Sus scrofa: one gene and its partners. The protein of the gene in region 2 interacts with the protein of the main gene of each other region in a biochemical or structural test. Links are inferred from orthologs where the notes say so. Each region holds a gene or a part of one and is shown on either strand. Other genes may lie near its edges.

Region 1 (3,331 bases), about 65 Mb from region 2:
TGGTGACTGGTGACTTGGGGTAGGGGTGGGACATGGGAGAGGCAGGTGGGGAGAGGCTCCCACTTAACACTGAAGGGTGGGGGCGGGGGGACGGGTGGACACACACAAAACAGAAAATCAAGTTAAATAAAAAATAAACCCAGGCAGCTGGCCTTGGGCCTGCGCAGGCCCTGGGGCCAGCCACGCGACCTTCCCAGCCATCCACAAAGGCCCCCGGGGCTGGGCCTGGCCTGGCAAGGGAGAGCAGGGGCCAGGCCTGTTGGCCCCTCACCCTGCCCCCTCCCCTCACAAAAGGGACTGGAGAGAGAGAGAAGGTGGCCACCCCCCCCGGGGGGGGGGGCGGCGCAGGGGCAGAGAGAAGATGACTGCGAGTACTTTTTAAACATGCGGCATTTGTGACTATCCTAGTAGTAACTCGAGTCATGGGACAAATGGAGGGTCCAGTGATGCCTAGTCTAGATTGCTTCAGCTACAACCAGCGAGGTTCCTCACCTTTGGCGTTGGTTGGTTTTTATGGTTTTTTTTTTTTTTTTTTTTTTTTTTTGCTATTTTGTTTCGTTGTCCACTTGATTTGCATGCATCACCAACAAAAAGGAAACACACCCCCTCCCGCTCGCTCTGGCTGCTGCGCAGAACCCCGGGGATGCTGGGGCCCGGGGCCTCAGGGTGGGCTGGGGACTGGCCAGCTCTGGGTGAGTCGAGGGGCGCTCAGGGCCACTGCAAGGGCGTGACCACCTCCACACGCCCAGCCCTCGGCCTGCCCCACCTCTGTCCCTGTCACACATTCTCAAACCCATACATCCACTCCCTGCACCCTCAATCCCTGCCTCCCTGGGCCCCACGGACCCCACTCCTGTCACCCATTCCCTGTGCCGCCTCCCTGCCGCACCAGCACCTGTTGCCCTCCACCACGCCCCGCGCCTGCCTTCCCTGAAGGCCACCCTGTGTGGCCGAGGCCCTTTGGGCTCTCTCCACCCCTGAGGTCTTCGATTCACCCCACCAAGCTGTGGCCAGTCTCCAGCCCCAAGGGAGGAGCCCCCCCGGAGCCCACCTTTGGGACTAGTCTCTCCTGGGTGGTGGCCCAGGCCCCCATGGCTCGGCCCCCAGCCCCAGCCCCCGAGCCCCGACAGGCAGTCGGGGTTGGGGGGGGCTTCCACCACAAGCAGCTAAACATGACTTTGGTAAAAGTTTCTGAAGGTACCGACAAACCCCATTAAGAACAAGCTCTTCTCCGCCCCCCACCCCCCAAACACCCCACCAAGTACAATAAAATACAATAAACTCCAAAAAGGACCCCCTGAGATCAAAAAGAGAGAGAGAAAGAGACCAGCCCGGGCCCGGCTGCAGTCGCAGCGTCCACAGGAACGCCAGCCAACAGACTCATTGCTTGCCAGACACCTAAGCGGACCCAGGGTCTTGCCAGGGGTGGCAGAGCCCGGGCCTGGGCCAGGAGAGAAGCAGAGCCAGGGAGGGAGATGGGGAAAGCCAGAGAGGTAGAGGGAGGTGACAGAGAGGAAGGTGGGGCCGGGGTGCACGTGCATGGGGCGGCAGTGGGGACAGCGCAGTGAGTGCTGGAGGGTGCAGACGGGCGGCTCTCTCCTGGCCCCTGGGGCCGCCCCAGCCCAGAGGTTACAACTGAATAAATAGCGAGTCTGCTCGCGGCCTGCTGTCTTCCGTTCACAGTGTCTGTCGGGGTTCGGGGGGCGGGGGGGGGGGACGCGCACGGCCGGCTGACCCCGGGACGGGAAGTGCTGGGGCCTGACGGGCCCGTCTGTCCATGGCTGGTGGGCAGGGAGTCGGGGGTGGGTCGGCGCCCCCTACTTTCTGTCCTCAGCCCTCAGCGGCTGTCCAGGTCCCAGGGCTCCCCTGGCAGGCAGCTGGGTAACCCAGTGGGGAAGGGGGGCCTGTGGCCGCACCCTTGGCCCCCGGCAGGCTGGCCACCGCCACGTGGCTACCTGAAGAAGGGCAGGTGGTGCTGGCTCAGGACCCCGCTTGTCCGAGGCGACTCGGTCTTCGCCATGACATCCTTGAACCAGGATGCCACGTCCACCTCCAGCGCCTCGTAGCGCCTGATGAAACTGTGTTCCTGTGGGGCCCAAGGTGGGGGCTTAGGACAAGGGTGTCCAGCTGGGCAGGCAGTGGGGTGAGGGGCTCAGGATGGGGGCTGAGAGGGGCCCCAGATACTCACAAGTAGCTTATTATACTTTGGTCTCTTCCTGTGATCTTTAGTAAGGCTAGAAAGAGAGAGAGAAAAGGAAGTGAGAGTTGGGAGTCGGGTCTGGGTCTGCAAGATCTGTGGCAAGGAGCCGCCACTGCCCCCAGGCCCTGTGCTGACAGAGGATCCTGGGGTCTGCCCTCGGGCCCTCCGACTGTGACAGGCTCCTGCCTGCACTGAGACCCCCGCAGGAGAAGCGGCTGGGCACCCCCAAGGAAGGCTCCAACAAGGATGTCCTGCTCCCACAGTTCAGCTCACCAGTGTAGGACACTCAGACCCTGAACCCTGGGGCACCCTCTGCTTGTTCATAGCCCCCCACAGTGGAGCGCAAAGGCCACTCTGCCACATACCCACAGGGCCCGGTGTCCACTTAGGCTGAGTCCAAACCCAGCTCCCAGCTCCCAGGGCTCAGGCGCCAGCTCCTGCCTGCAGCCCCCAACCCCATCCGGGGCCCCCCCTCCCCTGCCCAGCAGCAGTGAGCACAGGGCCACCTCTGACCTCGCCCTGCTTCCTCACCAGTCTTTGACAAAGGACTGAAAGTCCCCCGAGAAGCCCATGTGACCGGGCAGGAGTGGGGGTTCTTCCTGCAGAACCTTAGTAAGAACCTCAAAATCCGTCTTGCAGTTCTTGTAGGGAAACTGTCCTGTCGCCAGCTCCACCTGAGAGAGAGATAGGCAGGGTTGGTCCGGCCGAGGACAGGGTTCTGCCATCCCTGCCGCCTGCGTCCAACCTCCAAGAAGACCCTAGCCCTGGCCTCCAAAGGCAGAGGCCCCCACTCACCAAGGAGATGCCCAAGCTCCACACGTCTGCCCGAATGTCGTAGTCAGGCTTGGTAGGGTCCGGGGGGTCGATGCGCTCGGGCTGCCGGTGGGAGGTGGGAGAGGGTGGATGGACCCATGGCTGGGGAAGGTGCATCGCCCACCCTTCACACCCGCCCACCGGGCCCTGCTGGGCCCCACTTACTGCCATGTAGGCTGCGCAGCCTGCGCTCCGCGTTTTGGCCTTGGAGTCGACGAGGCGGCCACTGATGCCGAAATCGCAGAGCTTGATCTGGCCCCGCTCATCCAGCAGGATGTTGGAGGGCTTGACATCGCGATGGATCACACCGTGCTTCTC
Region 2 (4,003 bases):
CAGCCAGGGGTAGGAGTGGGGCCAGAATTCCATCCCTGGCCCCAGTTTTGGCCACAGTGGGGGGGCTTGCCCCTTTGAGATTTCTCTTCTGGAGAAGCTGCCCCTTTACTGTGGGTGCATGTGAACCTCAAGAGAGTTCCCTGAAGATGAGGGGTGCCAGCGCCCAGGACTCGCCTCCCCTGAGCTAGTGGCCATGTATGGTAGGCAGGTTGCTTATGGTCCGCCCGAGAGACCGTGGTGTGTGGAAGTTCCCAGGCCAGGGATCGAACCCGGGCCACGGCTGTCGCCAGAGACATAGCCCTGGCAATGCCAGATCCCTGATCCACTGAGCCGCCAAGAACTCCGAGATTCCCATTTTTTAACTTGGCAGCTGTGAGCTGGGGTTAGGGACTCCTGCTGGGGCTCTGTTGGGTGCCTGGGGTTCCTGCTTTGGCACTGATGTGAGCCTACGGGTCCCCCCAGGGACCTGAGACAATCCTGGGCAGGAGCTGCCACTTCTAGGAAACCCCTGGGTCGGCTCAGCTAAGAGCCGGCAGCAGCTGTCTGCTTGGGCCATGCCACCCTCCGGCCACGCTCCCCCGAACTCACTGTTGTTGGACTTGAGGTCTCGGTGGATGACAGGCACCAGGGCCTCGCAGTGCAGGTAGTGCATTCCACGGGCAATCTGCACAGCCCAGTTGACGAGCACATGGGGGGGCACGCGCCGCCCAGCCAGGGCACGGCTCAGGGGCCCACCGGCAGCATACTCCATCACCAGGCACAGGTTGGGCTCCTCCAGGCACACGGCCTTGAGGGCAATGATGTTGGGGTGTGCCAGCATGGCGAAAAGCCGAGCCTCCTGTCGCACGCTCTCAGCTGTCACGCTGATGTCCTCATCGGGGTCCTGGCGAGCTGCCTTCACGGCCACAAGCTCACCCCGCCAGCTGCCACGGTAGACCTTGCCGAAGCCACCGATGCCAATCACCTCCTCCAGCCGCAGCTCCTGGAAGCTGGCCATCTCGCAGGGGGGGGGACCACCGCCCCGAGACACATAGTTGGACGGAAAGATGCCCACCTGGCCACCTACCTGGCCCGCCCACCAGCCCTCGTCACCCGAGATAGCTGCATCCCGGGACAGCACCTCCACTCGGTCGCCCTTCCGCAGGGCCAACTCGTCCTGCCCATTGGGCTCGTAGTCAAACAGGGCTGTCCACACAGGGTTGGCATAAGCTGCAGCCTTCGGGGACCCCTCTGGCCAACCTCCGCTGCCACTGCCCCCGCTGCCCCCATTGCCACTGCTGTTCCATGACCCCAGGGGGCTCTTGAGGAAGAGGTTCTTCAAGGGCTCCATAGCTGGGAGCTGGCACTGGCGGGTGTGGGGGACCTTCCCTGGGTGCCCCGGTCCCCACCCTTGCTGACGGCCGAGGCCCTAGTCCCGGAACCTGGGCATCCGAGCCCTGGCCCTCAGCCCCAGACCCACGCCTCTCTGGGGAGCCAGGAGTGTCGCCTCCCGGCCCACCGCATCTCGGGCTTCCGGAGGAGGGCGACCTAGGGAAGCAGTGTGGTCAGGCTGGGGGGGTGGACCCCCAGGGCCTCCGATGTCTCACCATGGCCGGCACAGAGGGGCCCGGGCGTCCCTCAGTCCAGAGCAGTCCTGGGAGCCGAGCTCCAGCACCCGCCAAGTGAAAGGTGGGGCCAGCGAGGGGCAGTGCCTGGACTCCCGTTGGGTCTCTGCGCAGGGGGGTGGCTGGAGTGTCTCTAGGTTGAGCTGCCTCTTCCTGGCTCAGCTCTCGCGACCCGATGGCTCCAACCCCGTTCCCTTCTTCCTCCTCCCTTTGTACTTTGGCCCCGGGGGCGGGAGGCAGAGGTGGAGGGTGGAGTTTCACTTTTTTCCGCTGTTCTCTCTCCTGCAGGAAACAGCATCAGATGACGCGGGCGGGTAGCACCGCTCCCCTCCCAGAGGCTGCAGGGCGATTTGGTCTGGGAGTTACCGGGTAGGCGGGCAATGAGAGGCAGAAGGAGAGGAAGTGTAGCCCGTAGCCCCCACCTCCCGTGACAACAGGTTTAAGGTCGAGGTTGGTTTCTGCTAAGGAGGGACCGTCCCCGCCCTCTACGTCTGCATCTGTAAAACTGGGGGAAAGATCCTGGCTTGGAAGAGGGGCAAACCCGAGTGTGGTCTTGGCTCCGAAGTTGCAGGGCCGTGTGACCCTTTCTCTGCGCTTCATTCTCTTCATGTCTGAAACTGGGGCCAGGAGCTCCGCTTTGCAGAGCTGGCAGTGGGGGTAGGCAAGAATGGAGGACGAAACTGGCTGCACTTGGAGCTCTTGGAACGCGTTGTCTAAGATTTACTGCTTCCCTTCACCTGGGAAACAATTCATGCCTCTTTCCCAAGAAGGGATGGAAACCTGAGACTGTGCTCCTGAAATTTGTCCAGTGATGGCACTTGGAATAGCTAAATCGCTCTCGCAACCGCGCGACGGACCCCCTTGCCTTGAGCCTGTCACTTTAAGAAAAACGACACTATCCTATTTCGACTAGTCCTGCCTGTTCTCTCTACACTCTGAGTTTGAGCTCTGACCCGGAAGTAGAGGCCGCTCGTGACGTTTGACGTCCAGCGCTAAAAAGGGCGCACCTAGAGGGGCTTGCTCCAGTAGCGCACAACTGTGGCTTTAGCCCCCAGGGGTGTCCACGCCTCCATCCTTTTCCTCGCCTCTAGTAACTCTTCCCTCGCGTTCCGCCCAGTGATCGCGGCTAGGTTGGCATCGCTTAGGTGTGCGCATGCGCTCAAGGACTTGTGCCTTTTGGATCGTCCCTTCCTCAGCTGCGCAAGCCCAGCGGGCTCTCCCGCTTCTTATCGGTCCACCACCTCCCTGCGCTTGCGCATTCGAGCCGAAAGGTTTTCCTTTTCCGGGTCCCAACTGGTCTCGTCGGGCGCATGCGCCACTGCAGGTTGGCGGCTCGCGGCTCCTTCTTCCGGCCTCCCCCTTGGGTCGGCTCCCGCAGAAGCGGGGCGACCGCGGAGCCCAAAGCGAGTGACCTGTGACCCCGGAAGTGGACCTCAGGGTCCCGGGGCTCTCCCCGGGCCGGAACCGTGGGAGCCGTCGTCTGCACCCCCGGAGCACCCACCCCACGCCCACCTCTGGATGCCGCCGACCGGTGCCCGGCCCGTGCCCTGCGCCTGCCCGCCGGTCCGGCCCTTAGGAGCAGTTCTGGGCCGGGGGTGGGGGCCTGGACCCCACCCCTGATGCGGCTCCACCCCGGCTCTTGGGTCTCGCACCACTGACTGCCCTGGCCGGCCCCGCCCCCTGCCCGCACCCTCGCCCCACCGACCCCTCTCCCCCGCTGGGGGAGGCCATGGCGTGAGCGCGAGGTTGGGCCCCGGGGCCCTCGGGCGCCAGGCGGGGCATGGGCCGGGGGCCGCCCCCATGAGGGTCCCGGGAGGGGGGCGCGCGCAGCAGCGGCGGGGCCATGGGGTCGCAGGTGTTGCAGATCCTGCGCCAGGGGGTGTGGGCCTCGCTCACCGGCGGTTGGTTCTTCGACCCACACCAGAGCACCTTCTCCAACTGCTTCCATCTCTATGTCTGGATCTTCCTGCTCACCTTTCCTTTCTTGCTGTATATGGTGAGATGCTGCGGCCACCTGTAACTCGTGCCGGGGAAAGGGAGGGCAGATGTCACGAAGGGGTGCAACCTGGCAGGGATTCTGGGCTGTGGCTGGGGCGCTGGGGTGTGGGAAGAGGATTCACTGCGGAGTCTGGAGTGTGTGGAAGAGAGGCCAGAATTTCCCTGGCCTGGGTGACCTTGAATCTCACTTAATCTCATTCCAGTTATGCTGGAGATAGGGCTGCCTCGCAGGGTCTTTGTATTAGCAGCCGGCAGGCGTGATGGAGTTTAATGAATTTGTGTGTCCTAGTCCTGACTGTGGTGGTAGGTGGTAGGGACAGGGCTGTGTGAAGAGGGACCTGACTTGCTGCCGCCCCCAGGTCCTGCCCCCCAGCTTGATGGTGGCTGGTGTGTACTGCCTT
Region 3 (4,213 bases), about 9.9 Mb from region 2:
GACCTTTACAGCGTGACTCTCTGGCAGGGGGCACTGTTCTCCGTAGTCTGGGAGCGCAGCACCCAGTTCTATCCTGCATTAGATGACAAACCATGAAGGCGATACTGAGCACCTACTTGGTGCAAACCAAAGCTTAGCTGTTGACTCCTTGTGCCTTCTGGAAGTTGACAGTGGTGCCCAGGGCACGCACATGTGCACACGCGTAATAATAATAATAAACAGTCCTGAGTGAACGCAGCTCTGCTGGCCCTGGAAACAGTCAACCTGTGTTGTCTCATCCACGTCTTAGGACCACCCTGAGCAGGGGCCAAAGTCGGCCTCATGGAGAAGAAGAAACATAGGCTCAGGGGGTGAAGCACCCACTCCTGGGGCATGCAGCTAAGAAGGCCGAGGCAGGACTTGAGCCCGGGCCAGTGCCGCAGGAGAGCAGTCCCCCCCGCCCAACCCCTGGTGGGGGGAGAAGCCTGCTGGGCTAAGAGCTATGAGAGGCGGGACACAGAAAGGGCAGCGGGGGCTGCTGGAGCAGGCAGGGTGGGCCCTGAGAGGCTGAAGACATTGCTCTTATTATTCCCACGTGTGGGCCACATGTCCACGGCCAGGCCACGGCGTCCTGCAGGGCCTGCCCTCGCCTCAGCCTTGGTCTACTGCCACCCTCGCCCACTGGGTCCCGGGCTGGACAGGCTCACTGGCAGGCCTGCCTGGTCAGCATTTCTCACTAAGGATTCCAGGGGTGGGACAGAAAGTGCTGTCACTTGGGGATGGGGAAGCAGCCAGGGGGAGGCCAAACTGTCCCCTGGGCCAGAGGCAGGGCCTGGAGGTAGAGTGGACTGAACAGGCAGACCCGGGTTCTAGTGCAGCCTCAGACCCTGACTCTCTGGGGGTTCTCAGGCAAGCCATCTGCCTTCCTGCCTCAGTCTCCTCTTCCACACAATGGGCCAGGCCAGGGGTGGTTGTGAGCCAGCACAGAGACGATGCTTTGAGCAGTAAGGAGCCATCTAAACATCCGCTGGTTTGGAGGGCGGACACTTGTTGAGCACCGACTTGATGCACATTAAGGAATCAATATTAATTAGCTCACGTAACAGATGGGACTGAGAAAAGACAAAAAGCTGCCCAGGCCATACAGCGAGAAGATGGTGGGGCTAGGATTTGAACCCAGGTCCATCTAAACTGGCTGCCATGGTCTCCCACTGCAGAGGGGCCTCCTGGAAGGAAGGCCAGCGTTTGCGTGGAGTCGGCACGTGACGTGTCAGGTGGTGTCAGGCTCAGACGTCAGCCCTGTTACTCTGAGGCACTAACCACAAGGCCCCCAGCCCTCGAGGCTTCAGGCTTGGCCTCCTCCATCTGGTCCCCTCCCTCTGGTCTTTCTGCATTCAGCTCAGGGCCTTGGGGGAGATTTCTAGTCCTGATGATGCCATTAGAGATCCCCAGGGGTCCCTGCCCACCTGAGGGCCAGGGAGCCAGCAACCTCTTGGTCAGAAGAGGCGTTGGCGCCAGAGCCCAGCTGGGGCCTGGCTGGGGTGGGGGCCCCAGGAGAGGGGAAGGCACCAGCTCATTAGGTGGAGAAACAATGGGGAATGTCTAGGCCTCTTTCTCAGAGGCTCTGGAGCTGTAACATCCTCTTCTCCAACCGGCCAGGACGGGTGGGGTGGGGGAGGGAAGAGGGACGTTCATCCCTCCCCCTCCCCAACACCCACTGCCACTTCTCTGAAAGCCACCTCCCAGGTGCCTAACACCAGATAGGGGGCAGGGAGAGGGGTGCTGAGGGGCTCAGATCAGGGTCCTGGGTACTTACCCCAGCAGGGACCCCTCCCCCTCAATATCCCGGCTACTCCTAGGCGCTCCAAACCAGACCCCCTCTCCCACAGCCGCGCCTAAGATCTCTCGGTTGAGGCTAAGGCTTCCGCACGTGCACACATCTGACTAGGTCAGTGCTTGTCCAAATCCACAGAGGGTCCTAGCCATGCCAGGCCTGGGAGATGCGCCCCTTGGGCCCGGAAGGGCTGGAGGAAGGGCCTACGACTCCCTCCTTCCAGCACCAAGGTTGTCGGTCGACCCAAGAAACTGGGATCCACGGGGGCACCCCTGCCTGCTCCCACCTCGATTCAGAAGGCTTCTGACTGGGCAGAGGCAAAGCCCCAAGCAGCCTGCCTCCTCGGGGATCTCAACGCAGATCCCAGGCCCCGCCGCAGCCCCAAAGTCGGGGAGAAGGAGGCCTCCGCGCCCCCTCCTCCAATTCCAGCTCAGACTCTCCTTGCCTAGGACACGGAATGGCGGAAGGAGCCGCACCATGGTCATGCAGCGGCCATCAGTGTGGACTTGGGCTGAGGGGGCTTCTGGGGGATCCGTCTCGGATAGAGACCCCATCCCCACGCCGCCCTCTCGTTCTGGGGTCTGGTGTGTGTGTTGGGGGAGAGGGGAGAACCGGGGCAGATCAATCCGGGCTGAAGGGCGGGACGCGGCGGCCGGGGATTCTCACCTGAAATTGGGCGGCGACGCGATGTGCAGCCCCAGGAACGGGGAGGCGGCAGGCGGGGACGCGGCCCCCCCGCCCAGGCCGCCGCTCTCTCGCTCCGCCATTCTCCCGCACAGCCCTGGCCATCCGGGCGGAGCGCGGCGCGGAGGCGGGGGCGAAGGCGGCGGCGGCGGCGGCGGCGGCGGCGGGGAAGGAAGCGGAACCGCGACGAGAGGCCGCCGCCGCGGGGCTGAGGCTGGAGCCGGCGCGGTAGGCGCACCTGCTCAGGGCAGGGCGCGGCTCGGGACCGCGTTCCGCTCTCTGGGCTGGCGCGCGCGCGCGCGCGCCCCCGGGCTCTCGCCGGGGTCCCTGCGCCCCGCCCCCTGCCCGCCCCCTCCCGCTAGCCCCGCCCTCCGGTGCTCTCCAAGGTGCTGAAGTCGCGGCCCCCAGGCTTGGCCCGGCCCAGCCCCGCCCTAAATCCTCCACTAACGCCTTGGTCTACTTCCCCTTCCGGCGAAGCCCTTTGCCTGCATGGGCTCTGCCTCTTGGGGTGGGCATAGGGCACAAGTATTGGGTAACTAATGGCGGGACATTGGTGCCTAGGGTCCTAGTTGACCCCCTGGCTGCAGACACAGAAGGTAGTCAAGGAAGAGGGTCGCGGAGGACGGCAGAGAGAGGCAAGTGGGTGTTGGGAGCTGGCTCCTAGAGCAGACTTGGAGTCAGGTGGTGTGAAGTCACAGCCTGGCTCTCCAAGTGAATAGACGGTGTGGCCTTGCATTATTAACAGTGGTCCTAAGCTCTGGTTTTTCTCATTTGTGAAATGGGGACAATGATGGTCCCTCTTTCGGTCCTGAGGATGAAGTGTAATACAAATATGCTGTCACTGGAGACTGGGAATGCTCACCTCCTGCTGGGATCCAGCTCTCACCCAAACCTGTCCCCTGAACTTGAGGGGACTCTTCCTCCCAAAGACTCTCCCCAGAGGGTCTCCTCTCCAAAGATTGACTCAAGTCCCCCTTCAGCCCCCAAACACCTCTAGGGGTGAACTGAACCCTTTCTTTTGGCTTCTGCCTCTCAACTTCTCCTCCCTCATATCAGGATTTTCCTGATTTCTCCCTCTTCTCCCTTAGCACCTCAACTGCACTTCCTGCAGAGCACCCCCTCTTGTGCACCCTGACACCCCGTAGCAGGCTTCTCACATTCTAAGACTTAGGACCTTCCCTCCTGTCTCCATGATTGACTTCTTGGGATTTTTTGGGTGGCTTTTCTGCTCCCTCCAGGACCTCTGCCCCTGCTAAGTTTGGGCTGTGGTTCCTCCTGGTCGTCTCTCCCCTCAGAGGACTAAACCTGTGAGTTTTTCATGGAGCGTGGACTTCTGGATACTCCACTGCTGGCCACAGCTAGGCCCCCAGCCTTGGTGGCTCATAGAACCTCTGGCCAAAACCTGGCTTGTCTGGCCCCGCTGGGAGTACTCGGAGATCCTGTCCTGAAGGGGCAGAGCAAACTGTTCCACAGCTTGTGGAATCCTATTTGCAAATGTAGACTGCCCACTGTTTCTGCCACCCTTACCCTGCATTGTAGCACCCAGAACGGACTGCAGGCACCTGCTCTGCAGTAAACAACCCCCGAGCTCCAGCTCTGAGAACATCCCAATACCTAGAGCCTTGAAGAAGCCTCGAGAAGGGCTTGGATGCCTTTCTCCCTGCCCCTTTTCTATCTGGGCTCAGGCTTCTTTCATCAGACCTAAACAGTAACCAC

What was found.
Region 1: of the proteins of MAP3K11 (region 2) and MAP2K7, one has a biochemical effect on the other in vitro, tested with the Homo sapiens proteins (2 studies listed by BioGRID). The link is inferred for Sus scrofa from reciprocal best matches to the Homo sapiens genes MAP3K11 and MAP2K7.
Region 3: the proteins of MAP3K11 (region 2) and MAPK8IP1 form a complex in vitro, tested with the Homo sapiens proteins (2 studies listed by BioGRID). The link is inferred for Sus scrofa from reciprocal best matches to the Homo sapiens genes MAP3K11 and MAPK8IP1.

Annotation. Positions count from the first base shown.
Region 1 is NC_010444.4:71,298,503-71,301,833, forward strand, and holds the end of MAP2K7 (dual specificity mitogen-activated protein kinase kinase 7), read right to left. Parts: coding exon 2,996-3,331; intron 2,875-2,995; coding exon 2,732-2,874; intron 2,235-2,731; coding exon 2,189-2,234; intron 2,087-2,188; coding exon 1,952-2,086; 3' UTR 508-1,951; downstream 1-507. UniProt on the Homo sapiens protein: Dual specificity protein kinase which acts as an essential component of the MAP kinase signal transduction pathway. Essential component of the stress-activated protein kinase/c-Jun N-terminal kinase (SAP/JNK) signaling pathway.
Region 2 is NC_010444.4:6,638,859-6,642,861, reverse strand, and holds the start of MAP3K11 (mitogen-activated protein kinase kinase kinase 11), read right to left. Parts: upstream 2,802-4,003; 5' UTR 2,612-2,801; intron 1,887-2,611; 5' UTR 1,331-1,886; coding exon 589-1,330; intron 1-588. Other genes in the region: PCNX3 (pecanex-like protein 3), read left to right, coding at 3,448-3,600, 3,962-4,003. UniProt on the Homo sapiens protein: Activates the JUN N-terminal pathway. Required for serum-stimulated cell proliferation and for mitogen and cytokine activation of MAPK14 (p38), MAPK3 (ERK) and MAPK8 (JNK1) through phosphorylation and activation of MAP2K4/MKK4 and MAP2K7/MKK7.
Region 3 is NC_010444.4:16,581,952-16,586,164, forward strand, and holds the start of MAPK8IP1 (C-Jun-amino-terminal kinase-interacting protein 1), read right to left. Parts: upstream 2,813-4,213; 5' UTR 2,581-2,812; coding exon 2,480-2,580; intron 1-2,479. UniProt on the Homo sapiens protein: The JNK-interacting protein (JIP) group of scaffold proteins selectively mediates JNK signaling by aggregating specific components of the MAPK cascade to form a functional JNK signaling module. Required for JNK activation in response to excitotoxic stress.